Linked DNA regions of Saccharomyces cerevisiae S288C. The protein of the gene in region 3 purifies or fractionates together with the protein of the main gene of each other region. This does not show direct contact. Each region holds a gene or a part of one and is shown on either strand. Other genes may lie near its edges.

Evidence for each region.
Region 1: the proteins of CWC22 (region 3) and HSH155 purify together in Saccharomyces cerevisiae (affinity purification with mass spectrometry, with the first as the bait; 2 studies listed by BioGRID). This does not show direct contact.
Region 2: the proteins of CWC22 (region 3) and CLF1 purify together in Saccharomyces cerevisiae (affinity purification with mass spectrometry, with the first as the bait; 3 studies listed by BioGRID). This does not show direct contact.

What each region holds. Positions count from the first base shown.
Region 1 is NC_001145.3:840,407-851,340, forward strand, and holds HSH155 (U2 snRNP complex subunit HSH155), read left to right. Parts: upstream 1-5,164; coding exon 5,165-8,080; downstream 8,081-10,934. Other genes in the region: NGL2 (RNA exonuclease), read right to left, coding at 1-1,285; mitochondrial 54S ribosomal protein uL30m MRPL33, read left to right, coding at 1,536-1,796; DSS1 (exoribonuclease II), read right to left, coding at 2,030-4,939; aminodeoxychorismate lyase ABZ2, read left to right, coding at 8,279-9,403; ATP-dependent RNA helicase HAS1, read right to left, coding at 9,668-10,934. UniProt on the Saccharomyces cerevisiae protein: Contacts pre-mRNA on both sides of the branch site early in spliceosome assembly.
Region 2 is NC_001144.5:375,226-386,159, reverse strand, and holds CLF1 (Clf1p), read left to right. Parts: upstream 1-1,625; coding exon 1,626-3,689; downstream 3,690-10,934. Other genes in the region: ESCRT-I subunit protein SRN2, read right to left, coding at 1-626; TML25 (palmitoyl-(protein) hydrolase), read left to right, coding at 752-1,435; mRNA splicing protein MSL5, read right to left, coding at 3,908-5,338; cleavage polyadenylation factor subunit CFT2, read right to left, coding at 5,596-8,175; AVL9 (Avl9p), read left to right, coding at 8,922-10,934. UniProt on the Saccharomyces cerevisiae protein: Involved in pre-mRNA splicing and cell cycle progression. Required for the spliceosome assembly by promoting the functional integration of the U4/U6.U5 tri-snRNP particle into the U1-, U2-dependent pre-spliceosome.
Region 3 is NC_001139.9:1,044,843-1,055,776, forward strand, and holds CWC22 (U2-type spliceosomal complex subunit CWC22), read left to right. Parts: upstream 1-1,888; coding exon 1,889-3,622; downstream 3,623-10,934. Other genes in the region: RNH70 (Rnh70p), read right to left, coding at 1-638; CAB4 (putative pantetheine-phosphate adenylyltransferase), read right to left, coding at 802-1,719; SCW4 (putative family 17 glucosidase), read right to left, coding at 3,956-5,116; PXR1 (telomerase inhibitor), read right to left, coding at 6,068-6,883; ATP-binding cassette transporter YOR1, read left to right, coding at 7,982-10,934. UniProt on the Saccharomyces cerevisiae protein: May be involved in pre-mRNA splicing.

The DNA.
Region 1 (10,934 bases), on a different chromosome or scaffold from region 3:
TATCATTATCAAGACCTGCATTTTCTGGATGAACATTCTTATACCCAACAGAGTATAGTGAAATAGCCCTCATATCCAATGAGTTATGGAGTTGTGCCATTTTATCTACGAGTTCAGACTGTTCTTCATTAGCATGAAATTTTTCAGGAACGGGGCTCTCAGGTTGATCTTTACCATATTTTTCAATATTCCCGCCTTCTTCGTCATCTGCACCTTCTTCGCCATCACGGACCTTGGAAAACTTATATGAAGTGCTGCACCCAATGACGGTCTTTGCCCTGTTTCTATAGTGCACTGGTTTGGATGTCATAGATAAATATGGTGTGTCGAACGGCTGGGAATTAAAATCACCACAGAAAAAAGGAAACCAATGAGATAAATCCCCATCATTTTCGTTCTGTAAAACATTCACACGATGCATGAATTCCTTCATCTTTTTTAAAACAATATAGCATTGTCTTGTTCGTTCATAAGTACCAAATGGATGCCAAAATAGATGCGTAGTGCCGATCAAGATACCGCATTTTTTAGACGATTTTTTACCCAAATTCGACAGTACTTTCTCAGAAAACTTCAAGGCTAAGACTAATCCCACGTTGTTTGTCGTTGTTCTAGTGGAAATGCTTTCTGAACTTTCTTTATCATAGTCGATTAGCATTTTGTCAACCTGGTGAAATAATTCTCTCCTCCACATTATCGCGACACCATGGTTTTTTGTAGCATTTCTATAATATTGTCCATCGTATCCCAATTTACTGAATTCATCTTTCCAAAAGCTTTGAAACTGAATATGATCAATCTCTTGCAAACAAATGACATCGGAATTATAATATTTAAACTCGTTTAAGAGAACTTTAGAACGCCTGTACCATTTTAAAGCGTCACCACTATCCGGGAACAGCTTTCTGCGGATTAGAGCTTGCGCCAAGCAATTATAAGTCATTAGCTTGAATCTAAATCCAGTTACTGGCTCTGCCTCATGTAGAGATAGGAAAGGTCTTCTGATAAAATGCAGCTCTGGCGGGCAGTCCGGATCAACACCTTGAGCCAACATTGCATCTCTTTTAGCCTTTCTCATAACTTCCCTTTCGGCACGAACCTTAGCGATATGTTCTGGGGTCACTATGGGCTTCGATTTTTTACCTTTCTTGCCCTTCTTTTTATGTTGAAGTAACGAATCATCATTGGTTTGATGTTTTGCATCTTTTACAGATTTATTAATTTCTACTTCTTGGTCGGGCGCAACATCTGGGGCAACCACTTTGACTTCTTTGTCTTGTGTCATATTTACTTAATACTCTTAACTACAATTAAGAAGCTATAAGGAGACTACAATCTCATCTTCTTGCAACACTACTTTTCCTTTCCTCTTGCTTTAGTGCAACCATTTTTTGAAAAATGAATGGTCTTTCTGCACGAAATATCTCTCGAAGAGCTTTTCTAGATATTAAGGATAAAGTATATCATCCCAAAAGTTAGGTGATGGAATCAATATTGATGGACCAGCTAAAACACGTTGAAAGCAGATATCAGGAATGGTGTTTTACAAAGTCACGTTGAGTAGGTCGCTTATCGGTGTGCCACACACAACGAAGAGCATTGTCAAAAGTTTGGGTTTAGGTAAAAGAGGGTCCATAGTCTACAAAAAAGTAAACCCGGCCATAGCTGGCTCCCTAGCTAAAGTAAAAGAGTTAGTCAAAGTAGAAGTAACAGAACATGAATTAACACCATCGCAGCAACGAGAGTTGAGAAAGTCAAACCCTGGGTTTATAGTGGAGAAGAGAACCATCGACTGAAACAGCGAAAATAAGGCAACTGGATTTCCTTTCTTCTTGATATTCCTGACTTATATATGTATATAGTATTATTTTTTCCTGCATAGGCACATATGTTAATAGTAATTTATGCAATTTTTGATACAAAGAAATCAATACACTATCTCGATTTCATATTTTATGTATGTATATATTTACAAGAAGAAAATTATGCATGGTCTATTGAATTTTATATTTGGAAAAAGAGTCCCTTTTTATAGCTTTTCCAACTCTAACATTCCTTCTAAACAGTCAATTTTTGAAATTTTACAATTCTTCACGATATCTCCAATCATCGGATAATGCATAGAACTTGGATGCAATTTTAATGTTCCTCTAGCGAACGATAAGTCTGGAAAAACACATCCAGTAAATCCGTTCTGCGGTACTGATGTTACCATTACATCGAAAGTCCTTTCTGGCTCTAGTTTGGTTAGCTTTTTTAAATAATTCAGTGTCCAGTACGTCGACGAATTACGGCTAGCCCTTTTTAAAATATCCGCTCGAGATTGAATTGGCCAGATCAAACTGTCGATTTGTGTTTGATTAAAACATAGAGGCTTTTTCTGCAAATGACGGTGAATTTGTAGATGATTTATCAAGTCTGGAAAACGACGAAGAGGGGATGTTACTGTCAAATATTGTTTAGCTCCAATCATTTCATGTCTAAAAGGTCGACCTGTATAAAAACTCGAGTTCAACAATGAAGAAAGCTTAACGATATCTTTTAGCTTGGGAAAAATTCCTTTTTTTGTACTTGTTATCATAGAATCATACTGTTGTTGTGCTACTTCGCCCAGTGGTAACTGTTTATAACATCTGAACACACCACCGATTTTGTTCTCCGCAAAATATCTACCCGTTAAAGTATTCGCCAAGATCATCATTTCTGAAACCAAAATGGTAGACAGCGTCTCCTCTTGATCCGAAAATGTTACCTCAGTCAGTTCTCCTTCTGAATCGGCGTTTAGCATCACTAGGCCCTTATTAAAGCCCTCCCCGAAAATAACAGCATTACTGTTTTTTATACGTTGTTCTCTCAATAATTTGGAAATCATGGACAAACTTTCCAAATCCTTTTTGACAGGTGATGCTTCGCTATTGGGTGTACCGAGTATCCTGTCAACATCTTCATAAGTGGCCTTTGGGAAGTTGGACACAATGCCTTTCCGGATTTTAAAACTGTCATACATAATTTCAATTGATTTTCCACTGCATTTAGAAGTGATTTTAACATCAACAGAGAAGGATATAGTTTTCGTCCTTTGTCCTTGTTTCCCCAAATCTGATAAGTGACAAATAGATTGAGGTAACATAGGAACAACCGTATCTGGTAAATATGTGGTAAATGATCTTTTCAAGGCAACATTTAGGATATCTGTACTTATACCCTCAATATCAACATTAGTGCTTTCCGGAAACATAGAAGTTGGATCCGCAATATGAATATATAAAGTGTACAGTCCATCTCTACCATAGTTTTTCACCGACACGCCGTCATCAATCTCATGCGCAGTTTCAGAGTCTATACAAAAAACCCTAAGATCGCCAAAATCGTACCTATCGTCATCAGTGCCGGATTTTTTCCATTGCAATTCTTCTATATTAGTTAAGTCGTAGAGTTTTTGTTGCCATTTCACTAACTTCGAGGAAGCAGGTAATGCTAAATCCATGTTAAGTAACAATGGATTGGGTATTGAGTTGGGTGTTATCTCATTGATTAAATCTTGACATATATCTCTTGTGATGTCACAATCCTTATAGCGTTCTATCTTTCTGAATATTTTTGAGATCAAAGCTACTATAATTCCGTTATTGTGAAAATTCCCAGCAGCAAAATCTTTCAATAATTGGATCACAGAAGGATATAAAGCTGATATATCGCGATATTTCCTTTCATTCACCAATTTTACAAACTTATTGACCTCTCTATAACTGTTGGCTTCTAGCTTCTCTATCACCTGCGCATAATATAAATGTTGTGATTTTAAGGGAATAATCGTTACTGATATAGGCGACAGCAACGCTGTATTCAGATGGATTTCCCCCCAAAGGTTCGATTCCTGTTGTTGCATAATCGCCCAGTACGTGGAAACAAAGGTAGGTGAATTTATTGGTATATCGTTTACAGTGTGATAGTTATTAACTAAACTAGTTAAGTAATTTATTCCATTTTTATCGTCCAAGGCTTTATTTAAATCCAATTTCTGAACTAATCCGACTAGGGTAAAAAAAGGAATCTGCCATGGACCCATATAATTTTGTAATGATCTGTGGAGTAACTGTAATTTTTTGGTAGTAATGGGCAAATCTTTCCAGGCCAACTTTGAAATTTGGGCTGGATACCTACTTGTTATTAGCTGCCTTGCTACAATAGGCAAAATATTCGTTTGGTTAGAAAAGTTCTTAACGGTTCCAATTGGCAAATGTTTGTGATGGCTCTCAGGCTGTATAAGTGAATGGATTCCAGCAGGTAATTTGTGAGGAATCCTCAATAACACCCGGTTTTTGGTCGCAAAGCACATAGTTCCATCAATAGTAACAAAAGTGTATCGAGGATCCATAGTGCTACTTGGAAGACTTACACACATCGCCAATTCATTGGGTCTCATTTTTAAAAGAACAAAGTCACCAACATTTAAGGGACTTTCCATTAGCTGAACAGGTTGAAATTCCATTGGGTTTGGAGCTTTCAGTTTTGTTATTAATTGAAAATCTGAATTTATTAACTTGTAAAGCGGAATTTTTGGTTTTGTTAAAGACCTCCAGGAGTTTACGTACCAATCTTCGGAAGGTTTAACATACCTATCTTTATAACGTTGGTTAAATTCCTGTTTAATTTGAGGCAGTTGTTTTAATTCAATATCAGGCTCTAATCCTTTTGTTCGTTGCAGAAAGTCTTTGTTTATTGATTCTATATCTTTCTCCGGTCCAACCGAACGGTCTACAACTGTCTCTGTAGCTTGATCATTATCTAGCTCTCGTGTGTGATCTAGTTCTACTTTTGCTTGCTGCTTACTCTTACTTCGCTGTCGTTTGCCTCTGGTAGTTACTCTGAAGCAAGGTGTGTAGGAATGAAAGCTCCTTGCAATTAGAAGAACATGTACTTTCCGCCTAACTACCATCACCTGTCTTTATTTATTCCGCTGACAGATATGCACAACCAATTATCGTCTCTTGAAAGCTTTTTAGACGTGATTGCTGTTATTTGGCACGTTGTTAGTATTTAAGCTTATTCGGGTTTGCATTGATATTTGCCCGAGCAGAAATCTCCTTCTCGATGAGTTAGAACTGAAACATCTCTTCAATTACTTATACATAATAAACATAGAAAGCCAGGACCTGTCATCATGAGTCATCCGATTCAATTTGTAAACGCTAATAATAGCGATAAGAGCCACCAATTAGGCGGTCAATATTCTATTCCTCAGGATTTGAGGGAAAACCTGCAGAAAGAAGCTGCACGTATTGGTGAGAACGAAAAAGATGTGCTACAGGAAAAAATGGAAACTAGGACAGTGCAAAATCGAGAGGATTCATACCACAAAAGAAGGTTTGATATGAAGTTTGAGCCGGATTCCGATACACAAACTGTTACGTCTTCAGAAAATACCCAAGACGCTGTCGTGCCAAGGAAAAGAAAATCTCGTTGGGATGTAAAAGGGTACGAGCCACCTGATGAATCTTCAACAGCGGTCAAAGAAAACTCTGATAGTGCTTTGGTTAATGTAGAAGGAATCCATGATTTGATGTTTTTTAAACCTTCTGACCATAAATATTTCGCCGACGTTATATCCAAAAAACCCATAGATGAGTTAAATAAGGATGAAAAGAAAGAAAGAACCCTGTCGATGTTACTTCTGAAAATAAAAAATGGCAATACAGCGAGTAGGAGGACTTCTATGCGGATTTTAACCGATAAAGCTGTTACATTTGGTCCAGAAATGATATTTAACCGCTTATTGCCCATATTACTAGACAGAAGTTTGGAAGACCAGGAAAGACATCTAATGATCAAGACCATAGATCGCGTCCTTTACCAGCTAGGAGATTTAACAAAACCTTACGTTCACAAAATACTTGTAGTAGCTGCCCCATTGCTAATAGATGAAGATCCAATGGTTCGTTCAACAGGCCAGGAGATAATCACCAATCTGTCTACAGTCGCTGGCCTAAAAACCATTCTAACAGTAATGAGACCTGATATTGAGAATGAGGATGAGTATGTTAGAAATGTAACTTCAAGAGCGGCGGCTGTGGTGGCAAAAGCCCTTGGTGTTAATCAATTGCTTCCTTTCATCAATGCAGCATGCCACTCACGGAAGTCTTGGAAAGCAAGGCATACTGGCATAAAAATTGTGCAGCAAATAGGTATACTTTTGGGAATAGGTGTCTTGAATCATCTTACTGGGCTGATGAGTTGTATCAAAGACTGCCTAATGGATGATCACGTTCCGGTGCGAATTGTTACAGCACATACTTTATCAACACTAGCAGAAAATTCTTATCCATATGGTATCGAAGTTTTCAACGTTGTACTGGAGCCATTATGGAAGGGTATAAGAAGTCATCGTGGTAAAGTGCTATCTTCTTTTTTAAAAGCTGTTGGATCTATGATCCCATTGATGGACCCAGAGTATGCCGGTTATTATACCACAGAAGCAATGAGAATAATTAGACGTGAATTCGACTCTCCCGATGATGAAATGAAAAAGACCATTCTTTTAGTATTACAAAAATGTAGCGCTGTAGAATCCATAACGCCAAAATTTCTGAGAGAAGAAATCGCGCCAGAATTCTTTCAAAAATTTTGGGTCAGACGAGTGGCATTGGATAGACCATTAAACAAAGTTGTTACATATACTACTGTTACATTAGCAAAGAAATTAGGTTGTTCTTATACCATTGATAAATTATTAACACCATTGAGAGATGAAGCTGAGCCGTTCAGAACAATGGCTGTCCATGCTGTTACTAGAACAGTAAACTTATTAGGGACAGCAGATTTAGATGAGAGATTAGAAACGAGGCTTATTGATGCGCTCTTGATAGCATTTCAAGAACAAACAAATAGTGATTCTATAATCTTTAAAGGGTTTGGGGCAGTGACGGTGTCACTTGACATCCGTATGAAACCGTTTTTAGCACCCATTGTGAGTACGATTTTAAATCATTTAAAGCATAAAACTCCCTTGGTTCGTCAACATGCAGCAGATCTATGTGCCATACTAATACCAGTCATCAAGAACTGTCACGAATTCGAAATGTTGAATAAATTGAACATTATATTGTATGAATCCTTAGGCGAAGTATATCCAGAGGTATTAGGTTCTATAATCAACGCTATGTACTGTATTACTAGCGTAATGGATTTGGATAAACTACAACCTCCTATTAATCAAATTTTACCAACCTTAACTCCAATTTTAAGAAACAAGCATAGAAAAGTCGAAGTAAACACTATCAAATTTGTTGGACTTATTGGTAAATTAGCACCTACCTATGCACCTCCTAAAGAATGGATGAGAATATGTTTTGAACTATTAGAACTTTTGAAAAGTACAAATAAAGAAATAAGAAGATCAGCAAATGCCACGTTTGGATTCATTGCTGAAGCAATTGGACCTCACGATGTTCTTGTTGCGTTATTGAACAATTTAAAGGTTCAAGAACGTCAGTTACGTGTATGCACGGCTGTTGCTATCGGTATCGTTGCTAAAGTGTGTGGTCCTTACAACGTGCTGCCAGTAATCATGAATGAATACACAACACCAGAGACTAATGTTCAAAACGGTGTTCTCAAGGCCATGTCATTCATGTTTGAGTACATTGGTAACATGTCTAAGGATTACATATACTTCATAACACCATTATTAGAAGATGCACTCACCGATAGGGATTTAGTTCATCGTCAGACAGCGTCGAACGTAATAACCCACTTAGCTTTAAACTGTTCAGGTACAGGTCACGAAGATGCCTTCATTCATTTAATGAATCTTCTAATACCCAATATTTTTGAAACTTCACCACATGCTATTATGCGTATTTTAGAAGGTTTGGAGGCACTGAGTCAAGCTCTTGGCCCTGGACTATTCATGAACTACATATGGGCAGGATTGTTCCATCCAGCGAAGAATGTAAGGAAAGCATTTTGGAGGGTGTATAATAACATGTACGTAATGTACCAGGACGCCATGGTACCTTTTTACCCCGTTACACCAGACAACAATGAAGAATATATAGAAGAACTGGATTTAGTTCTGTGAATATATATAGAGCATATAAATAACCACAACTTGTAAGAATATTTTACTTGACACACCTATATCATCACGTCACGATGCCTTCATAGATTATGATGAAATATAAACAGAACCTGCTATTGGAAAAAAAAGGGCAGGAAAAAATTTTGTGAAAGTGAGTAAAAGAAAGATGAAGAGCGAGACATGGATAATAAGAAATAGATGTCACTAATGGACAATTGGAAGACTGATATGGAAAGTTACGATGAAGGAGGCCTAGTTGCTAATCCGAACTTCGAGGTTCTGGCCACTTTCAGGTACGACCCTGGTTTTGCACGCCAGTCAGCGTCAAAGAAAGAGATCTTTGAAACTCCAGACCCTCGATTAGGTTTGAGAGACGAAGATATTAGGCAGCAGATAATTAATGAGGATTACTCAAGTTATTTACGAGTAAGGGAGGTTAATTCCGGCGGTGACCTTCTCGAAAATATTCAGCATCCTGATGCTTGGAAGCATGATTGCAAGACCATTGTGTGCCAGCGTGTAGAAGATATGCTACAAGTCATTTATGAACGATTTTTTTTATTAGATGAACAATACCAAAGAATAAGAATAGCATTATCATACTTTAAAATTGACTTCAGCACGTCTCTGAATGATTTATTGAAGTTATTGGTTGAAAACTTGATTAATTGTAAAGAAGGAAATTCAGAGTATCACGAAAAAATTCAAAAAATGATCAACGAAAGGCAATGCTATAAAATGCGGGTACTTGTCTCTAAGACAGGAGATATACGAATTGAGGCAATTCCAATGCCTATGGAGCCTATCCTAAAATTAACAACCGATTATGACAGTGTTTCCACATACTTCATCAAAACGATGCTCAATGGATTTTTAATTGATAGCACAATAAATTGGGATGTTGTTGTTTCATCTGAACCATTGAACGCATCAGCTTTCACCAGTTTTAAAACCACTTCAAGAGATCATTACGCTAGGGCGAGAGTTCGCATGCAAACTGCTATAAATAACTTAAGAGGTTCAGAACCTACTTCTTCTGTCTCGCAATGCGAAATTTTATTTTCCAACAAATCTGGCCTGCTGATGGAAGGTTCAATAACAAACGTGGCTGTAATTCAAAAAGATCCTAACGGTTCTAAAAAGTATGTGACACCAAGATTAGCAACTGGATGTTTGTGCGGAACAATGCGTCATTATTTATTGCGGCTCGGCCTTATTGAAGAGGGAGATATAGATATAGGAAGCCTTACCGTTGGCAACGAAGTTTTGCTTTTCAATGGCGTCATGGGATGCATAAAGGGAACAGTGAAGACAAAATATTGAGCAGACGACAGATTTTCATATCAATGAAGTTTTTTTACAATAGTTTACAAATCATGATTTTACATACTCAAATATGTGCAGGTTGATACAGACAACGTACGTAGAAGACAACAAACAGAAAACAGCGGTTTATACATTTATTTAAATGACATACAGTGGAGAAGCAGAGAAAGGAAAAGGAGTGCGATGAGAACAGAAGATGAATACTTCGGTTGTGTTGGTTCCACGTACACATTAATAGCATTAAAAATTGATCCTCTGAAATTACTTATGAGTTTTACGTCTTTTGGTATTTGGCGTTTTTCCACTGGCACCAATTGTAATGTTAACCTTTGGAGGGACTGGAAAACCGTAAGACTTTGCTACTTTGGCTAAATCCAGCTTATCGATTTGATAGACAGTTTTCAAAGAGTGGGAAGCGTACGCTTGTAAATAAGATCTATAACCATCCTTGGCTGTTTGATGTAGATAATAGTTGGATTTAATTAATTTTTCTAATTGTGATTGAACGTTTGCAATTTTGTTTTCCGGGAATTCGTACTCATTTAATGGGACCTTGGAAGCCTTTAGATATCTTAAAAACCCTAATTCATTAGGTGTTAAAAACATTAAAGATTTACCCTTACCTTTAGTGCCTCTTGCGGTTCTTCCGACTCTATGAATATAATCTCTTGGATCATCAGGAGGGTCGAATTGAATGATCCAGTCCACAGCAGGGATATCTAGCCCTCTAGCTGCGACATCTGTACAAATCAAGATACCTCTTTCCGCATTACAGAATTCGAAAAATGTATTTGTTCTCTTTTGTTGTTTTTGCTTACCGTGTAATTCGAGGACTGGCAAATCAATATAGTTCAATAATTCAGCGTAATATTTCACAGAGTTACAAGATGATAAAAATACAATAATTTTCTTTTTTTGATTTCTTTTCAAGAAAGAAAATAACAACAAAAATCTCTTATCACTGTCACATACCACATAGCCTTGTTCTAATCCATCTGCGGTGGAGTTGTCGGTTTCAGGAACGACATTAATGAAAAGAGGGCCCGGTCTCAGCGAGATTCTAGCCAAATCCTCAACTTTGGTCGTTTGTGTAGCTGAAAATAACATGGATTGCCTATCTTCGTTTGGCAAGATCTTAATTATCTGCCTCATTTCATCTTCAAACCCAATTTCTAAGATTCTGTCCGCTTCATCGATAATCAAAGCCTTCAAGTTCTTGAATACAAATCCTTTTGTATTTTGTAAGTGATCCAATAATCTTCCAGGGGTAGCAATCAACATGTTAACACCTTTCATCAATTTTTCGGCTTCCTGTCTTCTATTTGCACCACCAATGACAATACCAAATGTCTGTGAATGGAATTCCATTAACTCTCTTGCCACTCCAAAAATCTGTAAAGCCAACTCTCTTGTAGGCGTAATGACAATTATACCGGTACCATTTCTTGGTTTGAATTTCAAAGAATGCAATAGTTCAATAGCAGGGATGAGAAACGCTAGAGTTTTACCAGAACCTGTCTTGGCAGCA
Region 2 (10,934 bases), on a different chromosome or scaffold from region 3:
CCTTGTTTATCCCAGGTCGCCAGTTTCTCTCTCCTCAAGTGATATTGTGTTCGTATGTCCAGATAATTTTTGATGAACTGATCCAGGTCATCGGCTGAGTCAATGGACCTTGTGGTAGTTTCTAGCTGTGAACTCTCCTCATCAAGTTTCTTTGTGTTTTGTTCTAATTTCTTTTTTAATGCTATGTCACCATATTTTTTTGAAAATTCGGAATGGTAATCTTGCCAGCTAGCTACATATTTGGATTCTAAAATCCTACAGTTTTCTAATAAGGCTTGGACCTTATCTTTTTGCTCATGTAAATCTTCAAAATTTTCTTCCAATTGTTTAAATTGATCTCTGAATGCATGAATCTTTCCAGCAAAGTCCGTTAAGGGATTGAATTTTGTGACGTATAACTCTAATTGGTGTCTGTGGGTTTGAATTAGATCGATTATCTCCTTTGATGATAAAAGGTTAATTCCTTCAGGTAAGGGAATATTTTTGCTTTTTTCGTTTACTTTTTCTGGTAAACCCGGAGATGGTACCACATCCATTTCTGCTCTGATAATATCTAATCTGCTTATATTGAGCCCCTTATTTTTCCTTCGTTGTTTTATCCTTAGTTTTGTAGCCTTTACTTTCATATTTCCTTCTTTTCAGAACGCCTATTCTAGGGAAAAATGGCTTCTGTATGAAATAAAAATGTTAGCAAAAGAGAACGAAAATAAGAACACATACACTATATTTGCCCATTTGAGCGCTATCGAATATGAATGGACTTAGAGTTGCAGCAAAAATTCAGCCAGCACGCCAAACTATCATATTCTTGCATGGATTAGGTGATACAGGTTCGGGATGGGGATTTTTAGCTCAGTATTTACAACAGAGAGACCCTGCCGCTTTCCAGCATACTAATTTTGTTTTTCCTAATGCTCCAGAGCTTCATGTGACAGCAAACGGCGGTGCATTGATGCCTGCTTGGTTTGACATCTTGGAATGGGATCCTAGTTTTTCCAAAGTTGACAGTGACGGTTTTATGAATTCTTTGAATTCCATAGAAAAGACGGTTAAGCAAGAAATTGATAAAGGAATTAAACCGGAGCAGATTATTATCGGAGGTTTCTCTCAGGGTGCCGCATTAGCTCTCGCAACATCAGTTACTTTACCATGGAAAATCGGTGGTATAGTAGCTCTGTCGGGATTTTGTTCCATCCCAGGAATTCTGAAACAACATAAGAATGGCATTAATGTAAAGACACCAATTTTTCATGGGCATGGTGACATGGATCCAGTAGTTCCTATTGGACTAGGTATAAAGGCAAAACAGTTCTATCAAGATAGCTGTGAGATACAAAATTATGAATTTAAAGTATACAAAGGTATGGCCCATTCTACAGTTCCAGATGAATTAGAAGACTTGGCTTCATTTATCAAGAAGAGCTTATCATCATAGCTCTTTTCCTAATATTGCGAGTTCAATTTAACCGCTATTATACTTGGTTAAATAATTTATATACATCCGTAAGACGCGATAGAAAATTAAAAACCTTGGTGCCAAATAGTTGGGGTGATGAGACTCATTGATTATGCAAGTTCATAATAGATAGACAAACTTGAGCTAAAAGTACTCTACTATTGCCAGCATGGACACTTTAGAGCCAACAGCCGTTGATACGCATGTTTCTGCGGAGCAGATTCTGCGGGATGTGTACAAGAAGGGGCAAAAAGCAAGAGGATCGACTAATATTGATATATTAGACTTGGAGGAACTTCGAGAGTATCAACGAAGGAAGAGAACAGAATATGAGGGTTATTTGAAGAGAAACCGACTGGATATGGGACAATGGATTCGTTATGCGCAATTCGAAATCGAACAACACGACATGAGGCGCGCCAGATCTATCTTTGAAAGAGCATTATTAGTAGATAGTTCATTCATCCCCCTTTGGATACGATACATTGATGCTGAGCTGAAAGTCAAATGTATTAACCATGCTAGGAATCTTATGAACAGAGCTATTAGTACGTTGCCCAGAGTAGACAAGTTATGGTACAAGTATCTCATTGTCGAAGAGTCGTTAAACAACGTTGAAATTGTACGATCACTGTACACCAAATGGTGCTCCTTGGAGCCAGGGGTTAATGCATGGAATTCTTTCGTGGATTTTGAAATAAGACAGAAAAACTGGAACGGTGTAAGAGAGATTTACTCAAAATACGTCATGGCTCACCCGCAAATGCAGACATGGCTAAAGTGGGTGAGGTTTGAAAATAGACATGGTAATACTGAATTTACGAGAAGTGTGTATTCTTTAGCGATAGACACAGTAGCTAACCTCCAAAATTTACAGATTTGGTCTGATATGGAGGTTGCAAAATTAGTAAATTCATTTGCTCATTGGGAAGCTGCGCAGCAAGAATACGAAAGATCTAGTGCTCTTTATCAAATTGCTATAGAAAAATGGCCCTCCAATCAATTGCTCAAGGCAGGACTGTTGGATTTTGAAAAGCAGTTTGGTGACATAAACTCAATAGAAGAAACTATTAGCTATAAAAGGAAAATGGAGTATGAAACAATATTGAGTAATAACGCCTATGATTATGACACCTGGTGGCTGTACTTGGATCTCATTTCAGAAAGTTTCCCCAAACAAATAATGCAAACTTTCGAGAAAGCTATTGTGGACAGCCGACCAAAAGAACTATCAAAAAATGTTCAGTGGAAAAGGTATATTTATCTGTGGATGAGATATATATGCTATGTTGAGTTAGAATTGGAAAATTCGCTTTTAGAAGAAGAACTTTTTCAGAGGTTAATTGACGACATCATCCCTCATAAACATTTCACTTTTTCCAAAATATGGCTAATGTATGCTAAATTTCTGATACGACATGATGATGTACCGAAGGCGAGAAAAATTTTGGGTAAAGCAATCGGTTTATGTCCTAAGGCTAAAACTTTCAAAGGATATATCGAGTTGGAAGTGAAGTTGAAGGAATTTGATCGTGTGAGAAAAATATATGAGAAATTTATTGAATTTCAGCCCTCTGATCTACAAATTTGGTCACAATATGGAGAACTAGAAGAAAATTTAGGAGATTGGGATAGAGTAAGAGGTATATATACAATTGCACTAGATGAAAATTCTGATTTCTTAACAAAGGAGGCTAAAATTGTATTACTTCAAAAATACATAACATTTGAGACAGAATCACAAGAATTTGAAAAGGCAAGGAAGCTTTATAGAAGATATTTGGAGCTCAACCAATATTCCCCCCAAAGCTGGATCGAATTCGCCATGTATCAAACTTCAACCCCGACGGAGCAACAACTATTAGATTTAGCAAAACTGCAAAGCGAAAATGTGGATGAAGACATAGAGTTTGAAATTACCGATGAGAATAAATTGGAGGCAAGAAAAGTTTTTGAAGAGGCGATAGTTTTTTTCAAGGAGAAGGATGATAAACAAGGGAGACTGTCTATTTTGGAAGCGCTAAAAGACTATGAAGAAACTTACGGTACTGAACTCGATCAAGAAACCGTCAAGAAAAGATTCCCTAAAGTAATCAAAAAAGTGAGGTTACAGAACGGTGTGGAAGAAGAATTCGTGGATTACATTTTTCCTGATGATATCGATGATGACAAGCCAAAACCATCAAAGTTCTTGGAACTAGCCAAAAAATGGAAACAGGAACAGGCACTTTGAATAAAGGTAAGGGTATCGTGAAATAATATTTTTGTCATTGTAGTTCAGGCCGTAGAAACTAAACAGTAGTAGAATAAGCTAGTAAGTAAATTAAATATCAAAAGTTAATAATAACCAGGAAGGCAAAAAACCAACAAAAAAAGGAACTATGCAAAATAGAGACTACATACCTTCAACACAAATAAAAAAAAATGCAGATATTGTATAATGGGAGTGTATTATAATCCGGGAGGCCCTTGCAGTCCCGGAGGTGTAGGTTTGTTAATGTCATTGCCCATGTTATTAGAAAACCCTGGAGGACCGCTTAGGCCAGGAGGAGGTGCAATTGAGGATTGTACCGTAGTCATACCGGGAGGTGGAGGTAGCGAAAATTTCGGTTGTTCCGACTCTGGAGGGCTTTGTAATGGGGGAGGGGCGATTCCTGGAACTCCGGAACTAAAGCTACTTGATGTTAGGCCGGGAGGGGGTGTAGGCGTCACGTTTTGAGCTTGCCTCGAAATATGTGACGCAGGAGGTGAAGGTGATGGTGCATAACGTGAAGAAGCCGGAAATTTTAAAGGAGGTTCCGTCGAGTTATTGTCATAACGAGATCTTTTTGGTGCTTGAATTGGATGAGTATTGCTATTATAGTGTACGTCATTGCTCTGTATTGGCGCAGAATTATTTACCGTGGCGTTTCTGTCAAAACGGCTCATTCTTTGAGACGATGAGTTACAGTCTCTACTGAAATGTCCAGTTTGTCCACATATTTTGCAAACAATGCCCTGTATATTTGGGATTTTTCTGTTTGGACAATCGTACCTTTTATGATCTTTTAAACCACAGATTGGACAGGGCCTGTTATCTTCTCTTAAAGTACCATTAAGTTCCGCCAATTCTCTCAGTTGTCCTCGTTTCAAGTCATTCTGGCCTTCCGGAGATGTCACCGCTTTGATAACAATGTTTTGACAAACTTTTATACCTTTTTGGATCTTGTCTTCCGAGTCTGCGATAATTAAACAGTGCAAGGGGTCCTCAAAGTTCATGGCGCCTGGAGGTAAGTCACTTGCATTCTTACCTTCTTTGACTGAACCTCTTCCTCTAATTGCAATCTTACAATTCGAATCTTCTTGCAGCTTTCTTAACGTACGTCCACGAGGACCTAATAATAAACCAACAAAATTGACATCAGGATACTGATCCACCGGGATATAATACTTGTCCTGAAATTTGGTAGGTCTCTTGTAATCATCCGGAGGAACGAAGTAAGGGATGGTCTTTAGGGCTATCTCAACAAGTTTAATACGTTCATCCTCTAGTTTCTTTCTATACCTCTGCTCACGGGTATTCGTTCTTTTACCTTGGGCATCATAAACTGGTGGCGGAGAAGGTGACCTATTTTTCCTGGAGGGGGGCACAAAATCGTTCGTACGCAGTTTGATGGTAATTTCTTGAATCCTAAACATGACTTGATAGGAGTATATTTGTTCCCTAGTTAGGGCCCCACTAATTTTTGATGGAAGAGAATTGAATCGATGGACATCGCTTTCTACCGTGTTCTTTCTCCATAACGAAAGGTTGACGTTTGGAGGAACCTTTGCTTTTTTTTCTTCCATACTGCTTCCTTTTCTATTTTCAAAGTATCTAGAGTTAATCCTTCTAAAACTCATCAACAATTTCCTTTTATTGTGGGATAGAATAGCACTTGTAGCAAATTAGGGAAAAAATTCTGCTTTGAAAATTTCCGCTTGGTGAAATTCAGCAGAAAAAGAAAGAAATCAATAATGCTAATATCGTTAAAAGTGAGTTAGAATGTTATATACAGATAATAGCGGTGCGAGATACACAGCAATTTATGTCACATACTGTTTTGTGGGCAGTCCACGAACGTAAATTGAACCTTTTATTTGTGCTGTATACAAGAAGGCTAGATTTTTGCTAACATATCCGTAACCAATTTTTTGACAGTATCAAAAAGTTCGGAAGGCGTACCATCGATAATAGTTTCTGCATCATTGATTTTGCGGACTGCTACTTTTTCATTTATGACAAGTGTACCTTCCCCTTTAAATTCTGCAATGTAGTTTTTCTCTGTGAGAAGTTTCTTTAATTGTGCTAACCTAACGTCACCGATTGACAACGCACCTGTTTTATGGCTCCTAGATGAACCGTGTAATGGTTTCAAGACTAGTTTACTCCTTGACGCTGTTTTTTGATGATTGTTCACTTGCGGTAGGCTCTCCTTAACCAGCCTGCCAACGACAGTGGCAACTGTATAACTATCACTGATACGTTGCCATTTCAAAAGGTTATCGAGGTTGGAGTCAATGGAGATATCCAGGGTCTTTATTGTTGTACTGAATTCCACTATCTTATTTAATGGCATGTTGACCACTTCAATATTTTTCTTGATAAGTTTTGCCGTAATTTCTTCATTTTGAATCTGTTTGGGGGCGGAAAGAACTATTTTTCTAGATTTTAGCGATGGCCATATAATAGATGCAGACCTTTGATCAACTAAACTCTGTAAATTTAGGATTACTACGGAGCATTTCAATTGGACATTTACAGTTGAGATTGTTCTTTTGGAGAGCGTTTTGTCTATCTTTAAATAGTCAAGGTTATCAAAATTTTCTGCTTCTCCGGTTCCAGAAAATCCCGAGTAACGAGAAGCACGGTGTTTGCTCCTTTTGCTAATTGGATCACTCATATTATAACCATCTTCTTCTTCATTTTTGTTATCTTCTTCGTTTACAGGGCTCGTGGTTTTAGCACCGTCTTTGAGAGGTCTTTTCCTGCTATTTTGATTAACATTGTCAGAATCATCAGGTAAAAACATCGTAAAATCTACAACAGTACCATAATCATCTTTCTTGATTTTAGCGGGGTTAAATGGGAACATTTTATGTTTTGAAGCGGCACTTGGTTGAATTATAATGTCTACAGGAACTTCCGTATTTTTTTTCGCTGCTGATTTCTCAGAGTTATCCTTGAGTAAATTCAACAAATTGTCGTTTTCTTCCTCTTCATCATCATCTTCGTCACCCCCCATAATATGATCAATCGGTGGTACTCCATTGACGTTTTCCACTAAAATGTCTTGATTTCTCATTGCCCTCTCTCCGTTGGTATCATCTATGATTGCGTTGCCGTTAGCCAGTTTCTTAGACTCTCTTTTCACCAGTAGAATTTTCTTATTTCTGTCCCTTTTCTTTTCTTTAAGCTGTACTTTAAACGCCTCTGTTTCCTCTTTACTCAAGGGTTCTTCTTTTATGGTGTCTATTGAAATGTAATTATCGCAGAGGAATGATTTACCATCTTCAGGAAATGTTTTCCAATTTCTTTCATCTTGTTCAACAATTTCTAGTATCTTGTCTAAAGACGACGCACATTCAAAGCTCGGCTTGGTCAAAATCAAGGTTGTCTTCTCAGAATTACCAACTTTAATTATCACTTCATTAATCAAAGCTCCTACCTCAGATACGAAGCAAATCTTTGAACCAGGATATTTACTCAATTCGTTTGGTGCGATGATTTTGATCCGTGATCCAATTTCAAATGGAGAAGTATTATTTCTGTTTTCCCATGTCTTAAGTAGTGAAGGGGACAGCCACTCGAGCATTGATTTGGCATATGTTAGAGTTCTTCCTCTCGCGTAAGACAGAATAAGTACAGGTACTTGTGTGTGCGCATTGATCTTTGTGCTTTCAAATAATAACTCATGAACTTGTGTGAACAGGTCCAGAAATTTGCCACTCATATCTACCGGTATTATAACGGACCCATCCGAACTCAAACCTTTCTTTAATGTATCTTTAAAGATTTTTGAACGTTTTTTAAACGGTTGAGAGGAGCCAAACCTGTCCAAAGTAGTAATTATTGCAGAGGGCCTCATCAAAGTTGATAAGGGCTTACCAGTGGCGTCCAATATAGAAGCAGCATTTAGTATGTTATCTCTAGTGTGGTTCCATCGCTTTGCATAAACCAATTTCTCTGAGTATGTGCTAATGCACCAAATAGAACCACCTGGACACACACCAGCATTGTACGCCAGTAAAGTCAATCCATCGTATCTTGATCGTAGATCTACCAATTGCGAGTACTTCAAAGGTACAATATGATCAAAAGATATCTCAATATCTTCAAGATCGAGTTTATTTGTGTCATATGGACCTATAACACCTGCAGATGCATATGAATCTATGGTGGAAACTCTCCCTAAGTTGATAACAGGAAGAGTTGCGTAAACTTGAATTCTGGATATGAAATGCGAGGTAAAATTATAGTACAGAAGGGAATGAGCACCTAAACATTCAATTGTTGGTTGTGATAGTATTATTACATCAATTTCCGGTATCACTTTTTCCCAGTACTTGATGCATTGCTCATACGATACTTTAGATGGATTCCAACCGGGATCGATTAACAAGGTGACGTTATCAAATCGTACCACTGAACCAACGGTGGTTCCTGATCCATCATCACAGCAATTGTATTTATAAGTCATATATATTCGTCGCCCTCAATGTATGTTCTTCATTTCATCTTCTGTGTTATTTCTTTAGCGAACAAATATTCGTGAATTCGATGTTAAAACTGCAGATTGTTTAAGAAAAGCGGGAAAACGCCGCCGAAAGAAAAAATCTTTTTCTAGTAATATTTCTTATTACAACAAACATTGAACATTGAATGACTTCAATCCGTAAGGGTTCATTGCTTGTATAGTTGGACTATATGTCATAGGTGAATCATTATTTCTTGAACTCAGGTTCGCTTTACTCAGTCTAGTGCACGTGAGATTACACTGCAAAAACTCCATGAACCAAAGAACTTACCTTAGACTTGCATTTGGGAGCAAAGTTTACACTAATTAATGCTTTTTATTTTTATTGTCCCAACCTTCTAATGTGTGGATTATTAATGGGGTAAGTTGAACTTCTATTACTTCCATTGAACGTTTGAGAAGTATCATTGCTTAGGAGGTTTGCCTAGCAAAAATAGCCGCTGAAATGATGCTTGTCCGTCGGGTAATGATTATACGAACGGGTAACGGAAGATATGGAAGCTAACCCAACAGAGAGCAGTCAATAATGGATCTTGCATAAGAATGTACGGCCCGATCAAGCATCCTTACAGCTCATTCACGAAGTTTCCTTTTCAAGAAAATTTTGAAGCCTTAAAGGAATCCAAGCAGGAAGACCATATCAAACTAACATATACATTCTGCCTCGCTGCAACCTTGTTGTCAAAATAATGGATGAACACGAGGAAGCAGTCATCTTCGGTATCTGCCTTGTGGACTTTCATCACAAAAGAGGCCCTGAAATAGAATACTGGTATGGCTTACCTGAGGGCACCCAAAGTGCAGAACTATGGCCAAATTTACCCTTCCAGGCCCTTCCTGATGGTTCTCACTCGTTTGAAGAAACATTTACTTATTTCACATTACTATATGATGAAAGAAGACAAAGGAGCCCTCCCAACGGGGCAACTGATCTGAGTGATGATAGCATCAATGACAACACGACTTTGTTTGCCATATCTTGCTCGAGACAGATAAAGAGTGATGAATTGGTCACTAAAGATAAGGATGTAACACGATCTACTGTACAGAAGGCAATTGTAGTCATCTCAAGGCAACCAATCTTCGGTCAAATCAAGGACAAACTTAGTATTGTGACTAATGCTTTTTTCTTGCAGCATGATTTTGGGGACAGGAAGATAATCCAGTCTTTATACGAAAACCTGAAGTCGATTTACACGCCTGCATCATTGGTCAGAAATGCCGAAAATCGTCTTTATATTGGGTTATGTCTGAGAAAGATACTACATGATTTTAAGAGAAACGCTTTAGTCTTATTGAAAGCAATTATGCTTGAAAAAAAAATTATAGTTTACGGCAACGACGTGGAAGCTTTGTGTAATTTACAGTTCGGTCTGATCAGCTTAATTCCGGACTTGATGTCAAATTTGCAGGATTCTGGCAGTCCTCAGTTGTTTCAGGATATTTCGAAATTAAATGTTGTGGACTCGTTTAAATCAAGCAATCGAGAATCAGTGTTGAGATTCTTAGGTTTTCCATTACCGATTTTCGAAAAAGGTGGACTATTTTCACCCTATACTCCACTGCAGCAAATGAATGACATACGGTCAGAACGTACTTTGTTTTTTATGATTGGAAGTTCCAACACATTGCTTGCTGAACAAAAGGAGGAACTGTGCCACATATTTGTCAATACAGACAATTCCACTGTAGATATTCTGGACAAGACTTTGAACCCCGTCCTCCAATTGTCAAGTCATGATAAAAAATGGATTGAATCTATATCTGGAATTGTATCAGACACATGGAACGAAAATGATGATGAAACTCCAAAAAACTCTCAATTTGAAGGCAGTGAGGATTTCATTAGGTGGCAATTCGAGGACTATTTAACGGGGTTACTTTCCAGTGTTAAATTAAGTGATTATTTGGACCTGCATAAAGAGAATGATCAAGCTTTGAAGACTATACCTGAGGATATGCTAAATTCCAATCCCGTTCATTTATTCAATTTGAATTGGGTTCAGAGTTGGAAAGAGACTCAAAATTTTCTGATATTCAACTCAAGAACAGATGATAGATTGTTCGACTTGTTTCCTCCGAAGCATATATATAACGGTGCCGACACTCTGTCTCTATTACAGCAACGATTTTTGGCCACATTTCATAATTTAAAAAGAAGCTCTAGCAACTCTTCAAGCAATAAAAATGGTCATCAAAGCGAGGAGGATATCAAAGACCAGGAAAGCATCGAGTCAAAAAAGTCTGTTTCCCAAATTTCTGTAAATCCTGGAAAGAATACAGACAAGCCAGCAGCCAACTTATGGAATTCATGGAAGGAATATTTCAATAAACCAAAGAATACTGCTAATGAAGATGTTACTGAATCCACAGAAGATCTCAAAAACAGAAGTAAAACATCGAACGCGATACAGAAAGCTATGATGGGCTTGGGTTTACATTATAAACCTGATGCGGAGACAGATCAACAAAGTGAAGAGGTGGGAAATAGTGAGGACAATGAAGATGATGATACTGATGAGGACTCTGAGGATGATGATGATGATGGTGGTGATGACGATGATAGTGAGGACGATGACGATGACGATGACGGTGAGGGCGATGAAAATGGCGATGACGGTGAGGGCGATGAAAATGGCGATGACGGTGAGGGCGATGAAAATGGCGATAAGGAAGACAGTCAAGATTTTAGCAATGGTTTT
Region 3 (10,934 bases):
ACCCAGTCTGTATCAAAATTGGTGTCTCCAGAATCCAGTGGGTAATCGTTTGCCACTAACTGTTGTTCGGATAGAACCAAATCGTTAATAGTAATTTTCTTCTTCTTTTGTAACTCTTTCAATTTATTTATTTTCTCCATTTTGGACAATCCAACATTAATAAATGAATTGTAGGGCGAAAAGAGCGTCATCTTGGAACCAGGTGCCATCACGGGAAATGTATGAAACGTGGAGGCAATTTCTCCAGGAATATATTTGAAGTTATCATCACTGATTTCATTAAAGGTATTTTTTCCGTTCTCAAAATCATCTGGTTGTAAACCTGGAATGAACAGAACTATCATTTTCTGTAAACTTGACCTGTTACAAATATCAATCCATTTGGGAGAGTTGTTTTCAGCCTGCAACAAGTATTGAGTCATGTCTCTTACATCCTTTATACCAATACCTTTTTCAACCACAGACTTTAGCAATGTGCATGTCATAGGCTTTGCCTTTTTTTTCTTCTTATTCTTATTCACTTCCGATACCACATTTGTATGATCATCCTCTTGTACAGAAGTCTTGGATAACCTTCTTTTCTTTGATCCCAAAGCCAAATCACTCACGAAGTTAGTGTCAGGCCCTTCTACTTGCATGTTTGCCTGAGTATAGTCTATTATTGTTTTCTTCCTCAGTCATCCTTGGTATTGCCATCGAGCAAAAATCTTCCCTCCATTTCTATTGTGTCCTCGCGCCACTTATAAAATACTAACAATAAAATAATAGTGAACTACAACAATAAAATATACAAAAATATGTTTATACGCAAGGGTTTTGTGGAGTGCACGTTGGCGAAGCAGAGGACTTAAGTAGGCGTCTGATTTCCGTGCTGCTTAACTTCTCGCTCCAGCCGTCTTCCTCCCTTCCTCCAAGTACATTAACCACATGTACTGCCAATGGGCTCATGCCTTTTTCAATCCTAGTCTTATTCACAGTCTCTGCCCCACTGACGGTTTCTCTACTCACAACTAAACATTCTATCTCGGGTACTTTCCCTGTGGGGCCGCACACGTCCCTTAAGGGAACTAGTTCTACGGAGAGATCCGGTTTTAACAACTTGATGAATTGATGTACGTGCCTGCATCGTGTATCATAAGGTTCAATCAACTCTTTGTATTTCTTGTTTTGCAAGAGCTCATCGCACGTAATTCCACAAATTAACCTTTGTGACGTGATGAATGTAGAGACGCTCAACAATATTTTATGTCCATCGTGAATGTGGTCGAACGTTCCGCCCAATGCGGTGACATGAAATTTGTTAGCATCTTTGGGACCTTCTATCTCTTCCATTATATTATCGTGTAATGCATAATGTTCTATACTATGGTATTGTCCTTGTCCCAACTCTAGCTTCCAAGTTTCAAAAGTGGATTCCTGTGGCAATAAAACCACTTTCCATTGCAAATTACTCTCGACGAAATGAATATTGTTGAATATGATGTTGATTCCGCTGTTGATCATTCCATAGCCCAAAAGGACATCCCTGGTAATACTGTACATCTTCCCTAGCGCAGAATCCAACTGGAATGAGGTTTTGAATTCAGGTACAATCACGATGTCTAGTTGACTTTGACATTCTCTTAAGAACGGAATAGTTTGCCCTATAATCCTCTGCAAAGTAGCACTAGGCGGTGTATAAGGAAGAACAATCAAAACTCTGGAATTTTCCTCAACCATCTTACACTTCTTTACTTTAGATTTTTAGGTTTAATCACGTCTCTTTTTATGACGGTCCTTATTTTTATCTTTTTCCATTACGTACTCTTGAAAAATTATATTACACTGATATTTATTTTGGCATTGTGAGTAAGAAACCTAAAAAGGAATAAAAAGGCTACAAACCAGCATGTCTACCGCTACCATACAGGATGAAGACATTAAATTTCAGAGAGAAAACTGGGAAATGATAAGGTCACACGTTTCACCCATAATATCCAATTTAACAATGGACAACTTACAGGAATCGCACAGAGACTTATTTCAAGTCAATATACTTATTGGCCGCAACATAATTTGTAAAAATGTTGTGGATTTTACTCTGAACAAACAGAATGGCAGGCTAATCCCTGCTTTATCCGCTTTGATTGCCTTGCTAAATTCTGATATTCCAGATATTGGAGAAACTTTAGCAAAAGAACTAATGTTAATGTTCGTGCAGCAATTCAATCGCAAAGATTACGTGTCCTGCGGAAATATCCTTCAATGTCTGTCCATTTTATTTCTTTATGATGTAATTCATGAAATCGTGATCTTACAGATTCTATTGCTACTCCTTGAAAAGAATTCTTTACGACTGGTCATTGCCGTGATGAAAATATGTGGCTGGAAACTTGCACTTGTCAGTAAGAAAACCCATGATATGATTTGGGAGAAGTTAAGATATATTTTGCAAACACAGGAGTTATCTAGTACACTACGTGAGTCGTTAGAGACTCTGTTTGAAATAAGGCAAAAAGATTATAAATCTGGGTCTCAAGGTCTGTTTATATTGGACCCAACTAGTTACACAGTTCATACGCACTCCTATATTGTTAGTGATGAGGATGAAGCCAACAAAGAACTGGGAAATTTTGAAAAGTGTGAAAATTTCAATGAACTAACCATGGCGTTTGATACGCTACGACAGAAGCTGCTGATAAATAATACGTCCGACACAAATGAAGGTAGTAACAGTCAATTACAAATCTATGACATGACATCTACCAATGATGTCGAGTTTAAAAAGAAGATTTATTTGGTTCTGAAAAGTTCATTATCAGGTGACGAAGCGGCTCACAAATTGCTAAAATTAAAGATTGCGAACAATTTGAAAAAAAGCGTGGTAGATATAATCATCAAATCTAGTTTGCAGGAATCTACATTCTCTAAATTTTATTCTATTTTGTCCGAACGTATGATAACGTTCCACAGGAGTTGGCAGACAGCTTACAATGAAACTTTTGAGCAGAATTATACACAAGATATCGAAGATTATGAAACTGACCAACTGCGAATCTTAGGTAAGTTTTGGGGACACTTAATATCTTATGAATTTCTTCCAATGGACTGTCTTAAGATAATTAAGTTAACTGAGGAAGAATCGTGTCCTCAAGGAAGAATTTTCATCAAATTTTTATTTCAAGAGCTCGTAAATGAGCTCGGATTAGATGAGCTGCAATTAAGGCTAAACTCCAGCAAGCTTGACGGAATGTTTCCGCTGGAAGGAGACGCCGAACATATAAGATACTCCATAAATTTCTTTACTGCCATAGGATTGGGCCTGCTCACAGAGGACATGAGAAGCCGGTTGACAATTATTCAAGAAGTTGAGGATGCAGAGGAAGAAGAAAAAAAATTGAGAGAAGAGGAGGAACTTGAAAAGTTACGGAAGAAGGCCAGAGAGTCACAACCAACCCAAGGGCCAAAAATTCACGAATCCAGGTTATTTTTACAGAAGGACACCAGAGAAAATAGTAGATCAAGATCGCCATTCACAGTGGAAACAAGAAAACGTGCTAGATCCAGAACTCCACCAAGAGGATCGAGAAACCATCGTAACAGATCCAGGACTCCGCCTGCAAGAAGGCAACGGCATAGATGAAGAGCCCGGCCAAACAAACATTACACATGTAATCGTACATATTTACATAGAACCGTACACGCTTTTAGCCAAAAAAAAAAGAAAGGTAGAATATAAAATAAAAACTCGTATTTCGTATTAAGACAAATATACAGAAATACAAATGAGATCATAAACGAACTAAAATAGGAAAATGAAAAAAAAAAAAAAAGATTAGCGAAGGCAAACCAGAAAGCAGTCCTTTGATATAACAGAGAAAAAGAAGATTATCAAAGCCTTAATTTAAAGTTAAAAATATTGGGTATCGTTTTTTAAATCAAGATTTTTTTTGTTTTTTTTTACAATTGAGTAGACTTATTCATTGGATAGAATACCCCAGTATTTTTCAACACCGTAAGCACCGTCGGCCTTCCAGTAGTCGTTGAAGGCAGTGAATAAGAAGGTATCAGCACCACAGGAGCTGGTAATGGCGGAAACAGCGTCCTTTTGATTTTCCTTAGATGGAACAGCAACACCGTAAGTCTCACCCTTTGATGGCCAACCAGACTCAGTGATAACAACATTCTTCTTACCATCACAAGCAGTCCAGACTCTTTGGATTTGTTCTAGTAACCATTTACCGGAGTCTTGGGCAACTGTGTTCTTGTCAAAGTAAGCATGGGCATTAACAGCCATGTAGTCGGAGTAGTCACACAATTCAGGGTTGTTGATCACAGCAATAAAAGTATCAACAGAAACAACTGGACCAGTGTAACCGGCAGCCTTCAAGGCAGATCTACCAGAGTCAATGTATTGACCGACTTGGGATGGGGTAGCTTGGTTACCGTTAACCAATTCGTTACCAATGGAAACAGTGGTGACATCGTCCCAAGAACCGTAAGATTCAACAGCAGACTTGATGGTGTTGACACCGTCTTGGATTTGGTCAACGTAGTAAATACCTAAAAAGACTTTTTGGTTCGAAGCCTTAGCCTTGAAAACATTTTCAACTTGGTTACAGTCGGTACCGTACAATCTAATGACTGGGAAGTCAGTCAATTGAGCTAAATCGGAAGCAACTTCCGAAGCGGATTTACAAGCACCGCTGGACTCGTATGGGGTATAAGTGATACCTCTGACACCAGAGGCAAAGCTGCTGACGTCTTCGCCGGAAGAACTAGAGGAAGAAGCTTGGGAGGAAGAGGAAGATTGAGTAGATGTAGCAGCAGAGCTGGAGGCTGGAGATGCGGCAGCAGAAACTTGTGAGTTGTTCTCAGAAGAGGAAGCAGCAGCGGTAGCTACAGAAGCAGCAGACGATGTTGTACTGGTAGCGGCAGCTGGAGCGGAGTTGACAACAGCATTTTCTTCCAAAGCAGCAACTGGAGTTGAAGCGGCACCATTAACAATGATAGTGGTTTGTTTTTGAACAGTGGTAGTGACCACAGCACGCTTGTCCTTGTGTTCGTGGTTAGCGGGAGCAGCAAGAGTAGCAGCAGATAAAAGAGAGGCAGAAGCAATTAGGTTAGAGAGACGCATATTTTTCTAGTTTGCTTTTCGGTATGGCTTGCTAGTATATAAACGATTGTAGATGTAAAAGAATGACTTAGTTGGATTTAGTTAGATATCTAGCTGGACCTTTGTGTAAACACTATTAAAAGAATAGAATAAGGGCTAAAAGAACTACTAAACAGAAAACAATTATGACAGAAGATAAAGAATACATATCTATTAGTTTTATAAAACAGAGATCTTCTCCTCGAGGAATGGGAGAAAACAGAAAAAAAAAAACAAAAACAACGGTGCCGTTTTTGAAACAACACCACAAGAGAAAATTTCTGAAAAAAATGCGCGTGAAAAGGAATCATGTGCCTATTTTCCTCATTTGGAGAGGCTAAACGAAAAGGGAAAAGAGGTGCGTTGCGCGTGTTTCTAGGGAGAAGATCCTATTGCAGCAGGGTGTCGCGCGAAAAGCGGTGCCTACAAATTACAAAACCCTCTGGGAAATGACCGTGCAGGGTCGTTTGTGGATGCATCTCGATTAGGCCGGGCTAGGCATCTTGATTCTTTCCCAAAATGGAGTTAACGAGCTCGATTGGGCGTTAATTGATGGATTTGGTTACACTGATACGAATTGAGCCCGTTTATCATTCATGCAGCGGCTTTATGGAGGGTGTGGAAGACGTTAGCGATGTTATGCTTTCCACTTGCTCTACTATCTTCCATCAAACCCACCTAATAAAGCTGAAGGTTTTGCAGGGGCAGAAGTCGTGGCGCAATAAGTTCAATAAATACTTATAATATTACTTACTAGTTTAATCATGTATGTAAAAACTCGTTGCGGTATGCTGTCGTACTGGCACACATTTTTTTTTTTCATTTTTATTTGCTTTTTTCTTTGGCACCGGGGAAGAATTTTTCCCCACTCTATATATCTTGCTGCGTGTGCAGACTGGCCAGCTGCTCACACAATGAAACGCAATGGAATGTTTAGTCGTTTGTTATCATAAAGATCTCATTCAGTGCCTTGGAGTCCATCAACGCGGCCCTCTTTTGTTTTATCCATTTGGAGCGCACCGATAGTCTTGTGTTTACCGCATCGGGGATATTGGATGCAGATTCACTAGATTTTAATTTTGACGTCTTTTTCGTTTCTTTGGTCTTTTCCGCCCTTTTTTCCTTCTTCAATCTCTTCTCTTCCTTTTTATGTTTCTTATGCTCCTTTTTGTCCTTCTTGTCTTTTTTCTTGTCTTTCTTATGCTTTTTGTGCTTCTTGTGCTTCTTTTTATCACTGTCTTTATCCTCTTTGTCGTCATCATCTTCATCTTCGCTATCGTCTCCTTCCCTCTTTCGTTTCTTCGCGTTGGAGTAATTTCTTAACTTGTGAGTCTTTGGATCCCACGTGCTTGCTAAAACTTCACCCTTCACAAAATGGATACCCCATTTTCCGTCAATAATCTTCTGCTTTCTCTGCGTGTCCAATTCCTCTGATATTTTGCTTTCCTTTCCGTTCAGCCTACCAAGAATTCGCTGGAAGACATCCAACCCTGCGCATTCACCATTATCAAACTCGTCTTTTTTGTCTTTACGTTTTAATTTAGCACCGAGCCCAACGTTGTCGTCCTTAATTGACACTTTGATATGCGAAGTGTTCGAATTCATGGGGGATAACCCCAGACCCATACCGGGTTTCCATCCAAACTTTTCTAGAAATTGGTGCCCGAATCTCGAGGTGTCGTTACTCCATGCCGTATTTCTGGGGTCTAAACCAAACCGCTGTTTGGTTCTTGTAGCTGCCAAACCCATTCTGCTTCTTTGTTTAATGGTGTAAGCTGCCTATATGTTACTATTGAGTACTCATCTCATCGCTTCTTTCAGAACAAAATTTTTCATATTTTTTTTTTTTCCTTTTCTTTTTTTTTTTTTCTTTGACTGTTACCCGGTTGTTTATATTTGTAGGAAAACAACAACGACAGAGAAAATATCCTTGCAGTGGCGGCTAATTTGTTAGTTGACTGATTGATCACCTTCACTTATTAAAGTAAAATCAGCATACAAGAGATCAGAAGGGAGAAAGAGAGTGGGCAAGGCTATAGTACTTTGAAGAAAGCATCTTTGAACCGACCAGTTCTCTTCACAAGCAAAATCTATATGACTAACCGCAAGGGGCAAAGGGTTGTGAGAGGGCCCGTCTTTCTCCCGCTATAGCCGTCACTGGTATCCCTCCTGGCTGCACAAATCCGATAGAAAGGGGAAGAAGGAAGTTTAGTGCCACCTTATAGCACGCAGTTACTGTTTACGCTAAGGAGAGGCATACTCAATTTTTATTAGTCGCCTTCTTTAGTTGCTGCGTTTTTATCCACGGTTCTCTACTAAATGCTTGCGATAAGCGCTTCTATTTTCCTCCCCACCGCGAGGCGGAAATGGCACATTTTTTTTCTTTTGCTTCTGTGCTTTTGTTGTAATTTTTGGCATGTGCTATTGTATGAAGATAACGCGTGGTTCCGTGGAAATAGCCGGAAATTTTGCCGGGAATATGACGGACATGATTTAACACCCGTGGAAATGAAAAAAGCCAAGGTAAGAAAGTGGCAATATTTTTCCTACAAATAGATCTGCTGTCCCTTAAATGATTACCATACATATATATATTTATTACACATCTGTCAGAGGTAGCTAGCGAAGGTGTCACTGAAATATTTTTTGTTCCAGTTAGTATAAATACGGAGGTAGAACAGCTCTCCGCGTGTATATCTTTTTTTGCGCTATACAAGAACAGGAAGAACGCATTTCCATACCTTTTTCTCCTTACAGGTGCCCTCTGAGTAGTGTCACGAACGAGGAAAAAGATTAATATTACTGTTTTTATATTCAAAAAGAGTAAAGCCGTTGCTATATACGAATATGACGATTACCGTGGGGGATGCAGTTTCGGAGACGGAGCTGGAAAACAAAAGTCAAAACGTGGTACTATCTCCCAAGGCATCTGCTTCTTCAGACATAAGCACAGATGTTGATAAGGACACATCGTCTTCTTGGGATGACAAATCTTTGCTGCCTACAGGTGAATATATTGTGGACAGAAATAAGCCCCAAACCTACTTGAATAGCGATGATATCGAAAAAGTGACAGAATCTGATATTTTCCCTCAGAAACGTCTGTTTTCATTCTTGCACTCTAAGAAAATTCCAGAAGTACCACAAACCGATGACGAGAGGAAGATATATCCTCTGTTCCATACAAATATTATCTCTAACATGTTTTTTTGGTGGGTTCTACCCATCCTGCGAGTTGGTTATAAGAGAACGATACAGCCGAACGATCTCTTCAAAATGGATCCGAGGATGTCTATAGAGACCCTTTATGACGACTTTGAAAAAAACATGATTTACTATTTTGAGAAGACGAGGAAAAAATACCGTAAAAGACATCCAGAAGCGACAGAAGAAGAGGTTATGGAAAATGCCAAACTACCTAAACATACAGTTCTGAGAGCTTTATTATTCACTTTTAAGAAACAGTACTTCATGTCGATAGTGTTTGCAATTCTCGCTAATTGTACATCCGGTTTTAACCCCATGATTACCAAGAGGCTAATTGAGTTTGTCGAAGAAAAGGCTATTTTTCATAGCATGCATGTTAACAAAGGTATTGGTTACGCTATTGGTGCATGTTTGATGATGTTCGTTAACGGGTTGACGTTCAACCATTTCTTTCATACATCCCAACTGACTGGTGTGCAAGCTAAGTCTATTCTTACTAAAGCTGCCATGAAGAAAATGTTTAATGCATCTAATTATGCGAGACATTGTTTTCCTAACGGTAAAGTGACTTCTTTTGTAACAACAGATCTCGCTAGAATTGAATTTGCCTTATCTTTTCAGCCGTTTTTGGCTGGGTTCCCTGCAATTTTGGCTATTTGCATTGTTTTATTGATCGTTAACCTTGGACCCATTGCCTTAGTTGGGATTGGTATTTTTTTCGGTGGGTTTTTCATATCCTTATTTGCATTTAAGTTAATTCTGGGCTTTAGAATTGCTGCGAACATCTTCACTGATGCTAGAGTTACCATGATGAGAGAAGTGCTGAATAATATAAAAATGATTAAATATTATACGTGGGAGGATGCGTATGAAAAAAATATTCAAGATATTAGGACCAAAGAGATTTCTAAAGTTAGAAAAATGCAACTATCAAGAAATTTCTTGATTGCTATGGCCATGTCTTTGCCTAGTATTGCTTCATTGGTCACTTTCCTTGCAATGTACAAAGTTAATAAAGGAGGCAGGCAACCTGGTAATATTTTTGCCTCTTTATCTTTATTTCAGGTCTTGAGTTTGCAAATGTTTTTCTTACCTATTGCTATTGGTACTGGAATTGACATGATCATTGGATTGGGCCGTTTGCAAAGCTTATTGGAGGCTCCAGAAGATGATCCAAATCAGATGATTGAAATGAAGCCTTCTCCTGGCTTTGATCCAAAATTGGCTTTAAAAATGACACATTGCTCATTTGAGTGGGAAGATTATGAATTAAACGACGCTATTGAAGAAGCAAAAGGAGAAGCTAAAGATGAAGGTAAAAAGAACAAAAAAAAGCGTAAGGATACATGGGGTAAGCCATCTGCAAGTACTAATAAGGCGAAAAGATTGGACAATATGTTGAAAGACAGAGACGGCCCGGAAGATTTAGAAAAAACTTCGTTTAGGGGTTTCAAGGACTTGAACTTCGATATTAAAAAGGGCGAATTTATTATGATTACGGGACCTATTGGTACTGGTAAATCTTCATTATTGAATGCGATGGCAGGATCAATGAGAAAAACTGATGGTAAGGTTGAAGTCAACGGGGACTTATTAATGTGTGGTTATCCATGGATTCAAAATGCATCTGTAAGAGATAACATCATATTCGGTTCACCATTCAATAAAGAAAAGTATGATGAAGTAGTTCGTGTTTGCTCTTTGAAAGCTGATCTGGATATTTTACCGGCAGGCGATATGACCGAAATTGGGGAACGTGGTATTACTTTATCTGGTGGTCAAAAGGCACGTATCAATTTAGCCAGGTCTGTTTATAAGAAGAAGGATATTTATCTATTCGACGATGTCCTAAGTGCTGTCGATTCTCGTGTTGGTAAACACATCATGGATGAATGTCTAACCGGAATGCTTGCTAATAAAACCAGAATTTTAGCAACGCATCAATTGTCACTGATTGAGAGAGCTTCTAGAGTCATCGTTTTAGGTACTGATGGCCAAGTCGATATTGGTACTGTTGATGAGCTAAAAGCTCGTAATCAAACTTTGATAAATCTTTTACAATTCTCTTCTCAAAATTCGGAGAAAGAGGATGAAGAACAGGAAGCGGTTGTTGCCGGTGAATTGGGACAACTAAAATATGAATCAGAGGTAAAGGAATTGACTGAACTGAAGAAAAAGGCTACAGAAATGTCACAAACTGCAAATAGTGGTAAAATTGTAGCGGATGGTCATACTAGTAGTAAAGAAGAAAGAGCAGTCAATAGTATCAGTCTGAAAATATACCGTGAATACATTAAAGCTGCAGTAGGTAAGTGGGGTTTTATCGCACTACCGTTGTATGCAATTTTAGTCGTTGGAACCACATTCTGCTCACTTTTTTCTTCCGTTTGGTTATCTTACTGGACTGAGAATAAATTCAAAAACAGACCACCCAGTTTTTATATGGGTCTTTACTCCTTCTTTGTGTTTGCTGCTTTCATATTCATGAATGGCCAGTTCACCATACTTTGCGCAATGGGTATTATGGCATCGAAATGGTTAAATTTGAGGGCTGTGAAAAGAATTTTACACACTCCAATGTCATACATAGATA